2 linked regions of the Arabidopsis thaliana genome follow. The protein of the gene in region 1 interacts with the protein of each later gene in a pairwise test. Each region holds a gene or a part of one and is shown in the gene's direction. Other genes may lie near its edges.

The links.
Region 2: the proteins of Y14 (region 1) and AT1G15280 interact in a two-hybrid assay, tested with the Arabidopsis thaliana proteins (one study listed by BioGRID).

The regions. Positions count from the first base shown.
Region 1 is NC_003070.9:19,102,057-19,107,967, reverse strand, and holds Y14 (RNA-binding (RRM/RBD/RNP motifs) family protein), read left to right. Parts: upstream 1-3,034; 5' UTR 3,035-3,214; coding exon 3,215-3,485; intron 3,486-3,798; coding exon 3,799-3,935; intron 3,936-4,444; coding exon 4,445-4,599; intron 4,600-4,850; coding exon 4,851-4,896; 3' UTR 4,897-5,177; downstream 5,178-5,911. Other genes in the region: AT1G51520 (RNA-binding (RRM/RBD/RNP motifs) family protein), read right to left, coding at 118-264, 464-1,179. UniProt on the Arabidopsis thaliana protein: Core component of the splicing-dependent multiprotein exon junction complex (EJC) deposited at splice junctions on mRNAs.
Region 2 is NC_003070.9:5,249,310-5,255,220, forward strand, and holds the start of AT1G15280 (CASC3/Barentsz eIF4AIII binding protein), read left to right. Parts: upstream 1-2,975; 5' UTR 2,976-3,083; intron 3,084-3,210; 5' UTR 3,211-3,228; coding exon 3,229-3,626; intron 3,627-3,978; coding exon 3,979-4,078; intron 4,079-4,236; coding exon 4,237-4,442; intron 4,443-4,521; coding exon 4,522-5,216; intron 5,217-5,424; coding exon 5,425-5,527; intron 5,528-5,872; coding exon 5,873-5,911. Other genes in the region: AT1G15250 (Zinc-binding ribosomal protein family protein), read right to left, coding at 70-72; AT1G15260 (LOW protein: ATP-dependent RNA helicase-like protein), read left to right, coding at 525-1,061; AT1G15270 (Translation machinery associated TMA7), read right to left, coding at 1,524-1,604, 2,141-2,182, 2,536-2,591, 2,696-2,711.

The DNA.
Region 1 (5,911 bases):
CATTAAAAAAAAACATGACAGTCAAAACAAAGAAACATGACTCCCTAATCCAAATGTACACCAAACAGAGTCCTTCCTTACATCTATAACCCGATTATATCACAACACATGATTTACCTGAAATAGGTTGAGACGTCTTCATCAGTGAAGGAGCTTTCAGATGGAAATGTCAAGTAAATCTGTTTAGAGACTGAATCCTCTCTTTCATGCCTTCCTTGACTAAAATAGTTACCACATTCTTCTCCAAAATGTCCTGATCCGTGTCTGCAAAGAAACAATCACCATGAGGAAAACCAAGCCTCAGAGCTCAAAACTTCTTGATACAACAAAACCAAGAGAACAAACCAAAACCATCTAAAAAAACTTGCCTCAAGCTAAAATGCTACTACTCTTGTTGTGTAAAGTTTAAGTCTTTCCTAACAGAACATACACAGAGAAAGAAAACAAAAAATCCCAAACTTACCTATGCAACATTGGAGAGCCACAAGCCGCCATAAACTGAGCAGCAACCATGCTCTTTTGCTGAGCTAACTTCATCCTCATCATCCCCTCAAGCATGTAATCCATCTCACTCGGCGATCCAAAGACACCAGAGGAACCAAAACCATCAACTAAACCGCCTTGTGGAAATTGATGACAACCATTTCCTCCTCCAAACCATGGTTCCTCTGACTCAAAACAAGCATCGTTAGCAGAGAAACTCCTCTTGTGAGAATTGGCAAATGGGTCCTCGTCGTTTGTGAACAGAAAGTTGTTACTGAATTGTTGTTGCTGCTGCTCATCGCCGGAAGAAGAGGCAAAAAGTGATGAACTTTCACGAAAAGGACTAGAATTGAAGTTAGGCTTATTATCTCTGAGTGTGTTCAAAGTTAACGAAGAAGACAAAGGGTTACTAGGGTTTCTCGAGAACTCTAAGAACCCATTTCTGGGAGAAGACGAGGACAATGACTGGCCATGGATATTGATGGGTCTCGAGAAACCGTTCGAGGAAAAACCTAAATCGACTTTAGCTTTCTGACAGAAAGTCTGTATGAGAGAGTCAGGACCAAAAGCAATTCGAATCAAATCTCTTTGTTCCATGTCTTGCAAGAGAAAATAGTCAATGACTCTGGAAGCGTTCTCAAGTTCGAAAGTTCTGATCTTTGAAAAGATTATTGAAGTTGGGTCGCCAGGATCCATGGCCGGAGAAGTTTTGTTTTTCCCCACAAGATGGTGAAGAAGACGAAGAGAAAAAAGGTGAAGGCTCTTTTTGGGTTTGCGTTAAATCATAAATGTATGTTTCTTTTAGAATTTTGTATGATTTTGTCTTTGTAAAAAGCATTTAGCAAAAAAAACAATTTTTTTTAAAAATCGAACCTTTTTTGTTTTTATTGTTCTTTGAAACTGTTATCGATTTTTAGGGATATTCAAGTTTCGTAAAGAGCGAGATTAGAATGGAAAGAAATCATATATATTGACCTGATTATTTTGGCAAATTAAGAGCATTAACAGATTTTAAAAAGATTGTAGTAACAGATTTTAGTAGGTATCAACACTATGTATTCCCTTTTTCATGGATAAAGTAGCTTTTTCAATACATTGTTTTCGTTTTTGTTTTTTTGTTTATTAGATTGATTTGTTAGAAGAACAATTTATATTTGCAGTAAAAGATTATTGGAGATAATTAAATTATTTAGTTAAAATAATTTATATAAAGTAATTTTTTAGTTAACTAAATTATTTGACCCCAAAAAAAAAAAGAAATTCTTGGTCTGCCACTTTCTATACTCTATACTAATAAAGATTTTAGTTTCTTCACCTATAGTAATGGGAATCACTTGGTTCCAACAAAATTGATAATTACAACTGTTTGGTGGATTTAATTTTTTTTTTCTCCCAAACTCTTTGGCGTTACAACCTGCAAGTAAAAGGGGAAAAATGAGGTCAAAAACTCTATCAAAAAACAAAACCAAATGAATAAGGGCCAGGCTTATCCCTGAACATAGCTAAGTGAAAACTAGCATTGTGATGTATAGATTATATAAATCTTAGGACCTGCCCGTAAAGAAAAAGTATACTCTATAAATATTAGGACCTGCCCGTAAAATATTTTTTGCCCTTAACTCTCATGACCGGGCCAGCTAAAGACAAACGGTCACTTGAACTGTGAAGTCTACTATTTTTAGTATAGGGCTCATCGACAACAATTACCCTATCCCATCCCATAAAACAAAATTTTGTCAGGCAGCTGTTCTTTTCCCCGTCACACCAAAACTCGCGCATGACATTAATTTTTCCTCAACACTGTAACGAGTGTACGGTCTTCGGTTACTTCATTTCCAAATCCTACCCGTTAAGATTATCTTTAGATATTATATCAACGGTCGATATAGCTTCTTTAAGGACACGTGTGTTGTTAAATAGTTGTCGTAAATTGACCAGAGTTTTGTACTACTTTAGTCAACAGAACCAGACAATAAATGTTTTCCAAATTAATGCTCTCCCCTCCTCTAAATGACGTAAGTAATTATTGGCGACGAACTAAGATTTGTTTTCTTTAAATGCTTTGCATCTCTCTATGTTTTCTTTCTTAGAATTTGGTCGAACATGTTGGACGAGATTTATTTGAGATTAGAGTGGGAATTAGAAAGCAATATTCGACTATAATGATTGTATGCAAACGGATAAAACAATGATGATCACCATCAAAGAGATGGACCAGTATCGACTGTAAAGTGTTAAATACCACAATATGATTGATAGTATCCTAATTATGAAGTGATACAATAATTTGACATCATGAATGCTTAAAAAGGTATGCCATGATTCACTCTCGACATATGAAATTCAGATAATGTAACATTAACAAGAGAAGTTTTCATCAAAGGCTTAAGCCTGTTTTGTAAGAAACCTAAAAAATCAAAGGCTTAGCTTACTCTGAAGCGTGAAAGAATAAATAAAAAAAGTAAGAGCCCAAAATAAGCCCACTAACATTGACGAGAGGAGTTTAATCAAAGCCTGTTTAAAAGGGAAAAGGAAAAACTAGCGTGAGAAAGAAATACAAGCGTAAAAGCCCAAAATAAGCCCACTTAAGGTCCAATATATTCCTATAAACAACACTGGCAGAGAAATATCTTGATAGAAGAAAGAGCTCCGTCCCCAAAAACAAAGGAAACAAAAAATCAGTCGGCGAAACGGGAAGAGATCTATCGGAAATCTTACGGCGGCGGAAGTCATGGCGAACATAGAATCAGAAGCAGTCGATTTCGAGCCAGAGGAGGATGACCTTATGGACGAAGAAGGTACAGCTATTGACGGAGCTGATGTTTCTCCACGCGCGGGACATCCGAGGCTTAAGTCGGCTATTGCCGGAGCTAATGGCGAATCAGCAAAGAAGACCAAAGGCCGTGGGTTTCGCGAGGAGAAAGATTCCGATCGTCAGCGTCGTCTTTCCTCACGCGATTTCGAATCACTTGGTTCAGATGGCCGTCCTGGTCCGCAGAGATGTAATTTCACTAAATCTCTTCCTCTTTCGCTGTTTTTAGTTAGGTTTTAGTGTTGGCATACTGATTCTTCGCGTTGTTGATTTATTTGTGGTAGTAATTTGTTCTAGGGTTTCTCATAACCCCTTGTGTTTGGGATTCAATTTGACCTAGAAGTTTTTTGAAAAAAATTAGATTGGTTTAGATTTAGTTTGTAACCATTATAAAAAATGTAATGGTTCTAGAGTCTGTGAAGATAGAACATAGTTTCTTTGAGGGTAATGAAGAATTGGGACTGTTTTGGATGAATTTGTTTGTTGTGTGTGTTTATGTGTAGCCGTTGAAGGATGGATTATCTTGGTCTCTGGAGTTCATGAGGAGACACAGGAGGAGGATATAACCAATGCTTTTGGTGATTTTGGGGAGATTAAGAATCTAAATCTCAATCTCGATCGCCGTAGTGGTTATGTCAAGGTATGGAGTTTTGCCTTTGTTTCTTAGTGGCTCTTGATGTCATTATGCCTTTTGGTTAGTTATTGTGAAGCTAATTTTTTTGCTTAGTTATGTTGATATCATTTTGCCTTTTGGTTTGTTATAGTGAAGCTTGATTTGTTGGATTGTTGTCATGATGTAATTTAGAGATGAATGCAATACTGTTTTGTCGTAGATGTTGACTTTACTCTTTGACATGCTTTGTGTTAATCAATGTAATACTGAATATCTGAAATTGAGAGCCAAAAATGATAAATTTATCTTTGCAATGTTACATTGCTTTTAAGAGGGAGATGTAATATTCTGTAAAGTGCAATGCTGTTCCCTAAGGACACTTCGTTTAAGTTACTTCAAAGTGTCAGAAATGACGGGTCGAATAAGATAAGCTGTCTTCTAGATGCGAGTTTAGGAATCAAATATTATTTTTCTTTAGTTTGCTTGAGTTCTCATGGAAGTGGAAGTAACACTTTGCTTTTGTTTTTTTTGATAAGGGATATGCTTTGATAGAATATGAGAAGAAGGAAGAAGCACAGAGCGCTATTTCAGCAATGAATGGTGCTGAGCTTCTAACACAGAATGTTAGCGTTGACTGGGCCTTCAGCAGCGGTCCCAGTGGTGGTGAATCTTACAGGAGAAAGAACTCGAGGTTTGTATCCTAATCTCTTTTCTGTTCCGCTACGACTTGTCTGATCTTGTGCCGATATGAAGTCAAGAGTGTCAAAAAGTATCAATTAAGATATAGACTTAGAAGTTTTAACAGTTGACAAGGTAGTATATTGTACTAAGCACCTACCAAACTTTACTGTCTTTATGCTAATGAATCGAAATCACTTGTGACTTGTCAAGTAGTTATACCTTTCTTTAAATCATCATCCATTGATCATTGGGGTTTTACAGGTATGGGAGGTCGCAACGTTCAAGAAGTCCGAGAAGACGTTACTGATTGTATGATTTGGTGGAGAGTTCTCCCCATATCTCTCTGTATTAGGGATTCCCTCTCTTATCTGTAAGGTACTGATGCAAGACGCTGAGTGTTGAACAAATTTTTTTCTGGGGTTTTTGTAGGGTTTGGCTGCTTTTGCATTGGTTTATCTCTTTATGCATTTGCATGGGATTGTTGCGTTTAAACACCATGAGATCTGTTTTAATGCTTTGTATTGGTAAAAGAAGAGAAACATTGGATGAGGAAGAATGTTTTAATTTTCATTCTCTTATTGATTCATATTTAGGTCAGACAGAATTTGAAAATCAAAGACCTTCCATTACACTAGAAAACCAAATATGATTATATAGAAAAAATCAAAGAATTTTCAACCAATGGCATTATTTCACACTGGTTTATTATTCTAGGCGTAACTATTGGTAACCTAAATATGTTAACAGAAATCATCAAATGACTATTAAATATTTTGGCTGAAATTTTCCAATCAATGGCAATATTCACATCGTTTGTTTTTATAGGCGTAACTATTCGTATCCTAAATATGTTAAAAGAAATCATCAAAGGTTTGATGATTTGAGATAGAGCATGTACTTTCTTGCTACTCACAGGTTGCATGATTTCATTTGTACGAATCAATCATCTATACTTTGTGCATTGAGCCAGTCCCACATTATGTTTATGTATCCATCTATTTTAAGGGCTCTCATATACTAACTTACAGCTGAAAAGTATAAATATGAAACAGTTGGAACAGTTATATAAGTTCTGCTTTTGTTGTCACCAACAAAAAAAATGATATGCTTTTACATGATTCCAACAAAAAAAAAACAGTTTTGTATTCTTGTTAATGATGGTGCCAAAGGCTTATAAGACCATACCTTAGATTCTGTTGAATTTAGAATCTGGGTTTCTATCTCTTTTCTGGAAATCTTGTTTCTTTTTGTTTTCTTTTTATACCAAAACTTTGTGAAATCTTAGGTACTTTTGTTTAGTATCAGTTTACTCGTTTAAAAAG
Region 2 (5,911 bases), about 14 Mb from region 1:
ATTTCCAAAGCACCGGTTACACATAAGTCACACATGAGCTTACATGGAAAAAAAATGCCAATAGATTACCATTGCCGCAGATGCAGGGGATGATCAAAGTTTGCTCTACAGAAATCTTTGCGGCTCCGAGAAGACGACTGTGTAGCGTCCTTTAGGGTTTTTCCTACCCAAAATGGATCTTCATTGGTTACCGCCAAAAATATGGGCTTCTTAATGGGCTTCATGGGCCTGGTTCTGATATTACCTCGAGTCAACTGGCATACAGTATATATAATATGAGTAGTGAGTGGTGGTGGCAATGATAAGTAGGGGACCAATTTTGAACACTGCTTATCAATGTGATGACGATTGCTTACCTATAAAAGTGGACAACACAATCAACAAGATGACACCTTCTTAAAGTCTGACACTATCAGCTTGCTTCTTCAACTACTACATGCCACTAAATCAATGTTAGGTTTCCTTTTGAGATCCCTAGTGACATAAATATGGTTATCTTCTCAAAAAAATGAGCAGCAAGAAAGATGATGAAACCTACATCAAAATCAATTCAGAGAGTTGGTCGTTTCTTAAAGAAGACTCTTGGGAGCATCAAGTCCACTATCTGCTCTAGTGATTACAAAAACTTACCTAACGACACTCCTCTCTTGAGCCCTTACTCCTGCAGCCGCCGCTGTCCAGAAGATTCCCAAACCCAAACCAAAGAAAGCTACACCGTTATCTGTTGTGACACGGCTGTGGCAGATACAACACACCAGAAGAGTCTCAACAACCAACATAAAAAGAAACCGAAGAAAGTCGCTGAGCCATTCGAGGATGCAAAGAAAAGAGGTGACGCGTTGGCGCAAAAGATGAAAGATCTCAATATGGTGGATCTGAGAGACGTGGATCACGCATTGGATGTAAGGGAAGCGCTTCGATGCTATTCAAGCATCAGAAGTCCTGTGTATCTTGACATTGTTGACAATTTCTTCACAGACATGTATTACGAGTTCTCTGATCCTCGTACCTCTGCTAAGATCAACGGTTCAAGGAGAAAGGCAGGCTCCTTCAGGCTTTAAAGTTCCTCTGGATCAGCTTTGCTTTCACGGGCTATCTGTAGTTCTTTCATCTATAGAGTATGCACTTCTTAAGAACAGTGTTAACCATTACACACACCGCTTTGGTAAAATCACCTGTCACCACCCTCAGTTTCTACCTCATCTTGTAGAGTCAAGTTACGCTCCTATTCTCAACTACTATCAATGCAACATATTTTCCACTTCAAGTTATGACAACTTACAGTTTATAATACTATATCTGAAGATAGAGATGTGACACCCTACTACTCGATTCTTGACAAAATGATTTTAGGGTAGATACCACTTTTCTTTTTCATGAAAAAATGGAGAAAGCAAACATATGTATGGAGAAGCGAAGTTACTCTTCTCGAATTATGATAAAAAGTTACATCAACACAGGATTATCTGTTTTTTTCACTTGATAAATTTGCATTTTAAAACACACTTCATGGATAAAACGGATCATTTCTTGCCACTCTTCTTAAGTCCAGAACCTCCAAAGGATCCCTTCTGCGATGCCTTGGCTCTAAGCTCTTTAAGGGCCTGTTTTATCATTTTCATTCAAAACAAAACAGGTCAGGCTTTCGGTAACAAATGATCACTGTACTTCTCATGCGAAAGAAAGGCTAATGAGTCTTTCACACAATTGGGTGGAAAAAAAGTAGACTAAACATCCTAACATGGGCAAATGGTCACTATTTCATCAAAGTAAGAAGAAACTAGTCCATATCATCTCAAAAGAATCTGTAATGAATACCCCTAAACTAACAAATAATTAATAGAAATGACCCATCTAGTTGTAGTCACCAGCTATAAAGTCATAATTAGAGTCAGCTTGATTAGTAGACCAAACTGACAAAGTGGAACATATTAATGCACAACCTTTACAAAACCTTTACAAACCTATGTATCTAAACAGAAGCTCTCTTGTGAAGATACAATCTTTGATTCGTATTTTATAGCTTTCCATTGAAAGAGGAGCCCAAACATATAAGTTTAACTAGATGCATTTTTCCAATCACAAAACTTCATATGAACAAAAAGAGAAAACAAGTCAGAGCATCAAAGTGGGAACTCACCTTTTCCTCATCTTTCTTCTTCTGAATGTTAGCTAAGTCAGTCTGCATTGATACCAAATCAACATTTCAGCAATTAGAGAATGTCTAAGAGTCATTAATACACAAATAGTATGCAAACAAAATCAAGTGAAGAAGTCAAGACTGTGCCCTTAAAAACACTGGATCAAAATTCGAACTTGCGTATAAATCATTGAATCCGAGCAAAATTAATGATTTATGAGTCACTGAATGTTAACAAATTTTAAGAATTCAAGTTAGTTGGACAATCAAAACCAGATCCAGAGCAAAAGCATCGTTTGATTCGAGGTCTAAAGCTAACAATATAAGCCGATTTAGCTGAAGGCAAATCAACAGAAAATCCAACTCTTAAAAGAAAAAAGAAACAGTAGAGTCACCTCGTCGTATTCCTTCTTATCAGCTTTAGGCTGCTTCAAAGGTTTCGCCTTTCCTCCTGTTTAAAACCAAAATAAGATGAGCAGATCGTAAACGATGTCTCTAATCACTTTATTCGGTGAACGAATCACCAACTCAAATCTCTGTATAACAGCAACGTACCTTGCTTGGAAGACATGATTGGTTCGTTGAGCTAGGGTTCGATGTTGAGCTCAAAATTGGGGAAAAAGTAGCTGAGAGTTGCAGACGGTATCGAATCTCTCTGATTGGGGCTACGGTTCATATTTATAATGAGTTCGTAGTAACAACGCAACCTATTAAATGGGCTCTGAAAGTGTATGGCCCATTAAAAGGCCTACAAATTTCTTTTTGGGCCCGTTAAATACCTTTATTTGGGTCAACCTAGGTCACAGTCGTTATATTTAATGCGCGAAATAACAAAATAAAATCGATTAATTAACAGTTAACAAAAGGTCTGGCTCCATTCGATTTCATTGGAAACCCCCAAAATCGCTGAAGAACGCCTCTCGAGCTCAGATAGGGTTTATAGGTATGCGCGAGCTTTCTTCTACATAGTCGATTAGTACGGAGCGCTTGAGCGACTCTTTCGATTTCTCAATTGAATTTCTTCTTCATCTAGGTTTTGGATTTACGAGTACCACTCTCCTTTTTTTCAGGTTTCTAGAGAGAATTTCATGGCGACATCTGAAGCGGAATATGAGAGTGATCCCGAGGAGCTGAACCGCTCCTTGGCGACGAGGAGGAGAGAAGCGAGTGATGACGATAGTGATGATGATGATGCTGTTAGAGATGTGAAAAATCAGAGGGCTGTGGTTGATTCTGACCTATCTGATGAAGAAGTTGGTACTGTGAAGTATGATAATGACGAAGATGGGGAGGATAGTTATGAGGATGATGAGGAGGAAAGTGGTGGAGGAATCGATAATGATAAGAGTGGTGTGGTGAAGGAGGCTGGTGATATGAATGGAGAGGAAGAAAATGAAAAGGAGAAGTTACAAGCTGCTGTTCCCACTGGTGGAGCTTTTTATATGCATGATGATAGGTTTCAGGAAATGTCTGCTGGCGGAAACAGGTTTACTCTCTTTACTGTGTTTGTTTTTCACAGCTTTCTCAATCAATTCTGCTTCAAAATCTGTCACTATAAGCTATCAAGTATCAACTCAACCTTATTATGCAAGGGTTGGATTTTTCAAAGTAGGTATTAACTTAGGATGAAATTGTATTTAGAGGAGAGATAATTGACTCTAAGGTGGAGTTATTGACCTCTTATTATCTTGCAATTTTATCAAGCATGAGGGGTTTGAGTAGCTGCATTGGGGATTGCTTAGTTCATACTATTGGGAAATATGATTTTTTCTGAATATAGCTCTTCCTCTCTACCTTCTATCTGTCGATTGATATAGTTCTTTATCTTGCTTTCGTAGGCGAATGCGTGGTGGGAGAAGACAGTGGGGCTCTGGAGAGGAAAGAAAATGGGGACATGACAAATTTGAAGAGATGAATACTGGGGAAAAACATTCTGATGTAAAGCTTCTGTCTATGGTTTTTAGAATAATTTTAGATTCCTCTTATCTCTTAATTGCTATAACATGTACATGTGACATATGTTAGCTTTGTTGTATTTATGCACTTTCCGTCTCTTATCTTTTTCCTTTCTTTCTTAAACTGCATTTGATACACAGCAGAGGATGTCTAGAGGCCGATTCAGAGGTCATGGTCGGGGTAGGGGACAAGGGCGTGGATACGCTAGAGGGAGCAGTTCTAACACATTAACCAGTAGTGGACAGCAAATTTATGTTCCTAAAGCTGTCTCACGAGGGAGAGGACCCAGGAAATCCGACACTCCCCTGAGGAATGAAAATCAAGCACATTCTGAGCAAAGCAAACAGTGAGTTCTTAAAAAAAAAATCCCCTAGTTGAGTGAAGGGTTTTCTCTATTATAATGTACTTGTGTACTGAATTTGTAGGTTACGAAATTCTAATGGGTCTCAAAACTCTCGTGAGAAAATGCCACACCTCGATTCACGGCGTTCACCAACTGCCCCTGCTAAAACTGAGAATCAAGGTGCCCATGCCAAAAAGAATGTAGCTGTGTCAAGTTTGAGTTCCGCTTCTCCTCCATTTTATCCTTCAGCGCCGTCCAGTAATGTGGTACATGGTATACAAGTTAGTATGGAAAGACTCCACACAAATGAAAGTGTCACGCCTTCTGGGAAGAAGTATAGGAATACAAAATCCGGTTATTCACCAGTTTGGACTGCCAAGACTCTTCAGTCCACTAGTCAAGGTAGAGGTGCACCTGCTGCTGGGAACACGTTTTACCCGCAATCTCATAGTCAAGGTGACAGATTTTCATCACCAATGCAACTCAATGGAGATTCAAAAGGCACTGGCCAAAGACCTTCCGGCCAGGGTTTTGATCAGCACTCTGCTGTTGTTAGATCATTGTCTTCCTCTCCCCAGAAAACTAGCTTATCAAGAAATCGGTATCCTCCTGATGAAATAGAATCTTCATCGGAAACAGCTGCATTGATTGCTAAAGGAAAAGGGACTCTCAGGCCTGGTGGAAGCAGCTCTTTTATGTATAGTGGATCCCAAATGATGGGGCGGCCAGAAAGTTTGACATCTGCTGACAATTCTAATTTCCCTACTTTTCTGCCTGGTAAGTTTTTTGGATGACGCTTTTCTTTGTAAAATGGATGAGTTGAAAGAATTTTCAGTTTCAAATCATGCATGGTGGTGAAATTGAAAGCTATTGACGCCGAGCCACCTAGGCCTGGTTGTTCATATATACTATTTTCGGAGTCCTGTTGTACCAGCTTGGGGAGATTATTGCATTACTTTCTAATTAAATTCAAATTGAAATGCAGTTATGCAATTTGGTGGTCAGCATGGTGGGGTTCCGACTTTTGGAATGGCTTATCCAGGATATGTCCAGTCTGAAGATGGTGTTAGAAATCCGGAGATGACATGGTAAGCTAGCTCCTTCCCCTTCTCGATGAACTTTGTGGATGCTAGTTTTCAGAAGTTCTTGGTTGTAAGCATTTCAAAGAATTAAGAATTAGATATCGTGCGTATTGGTTGCTGAATTTCCGTCTTATTTGTGTTTTTATATGTTGTCCCTTTAATCACCTTTGTGCGGGTCTACCTACTGGAAAAACAAAACCTGTGATGGTGTTGTATCATTAGAATGTTTACTTTCATTCTGGATACTGTGTTGGTTGAATGCTATGAGCTCTTCATCTATATGACTATATCTAGTTCCTGATTTTATTCTTTCCCCTGCTTGCTGCTGTGATCTCTTTATATGATTGGCAGGATGCCAGTTTTAGCTGGTCCAGGAGCTTTAGGGGCTTC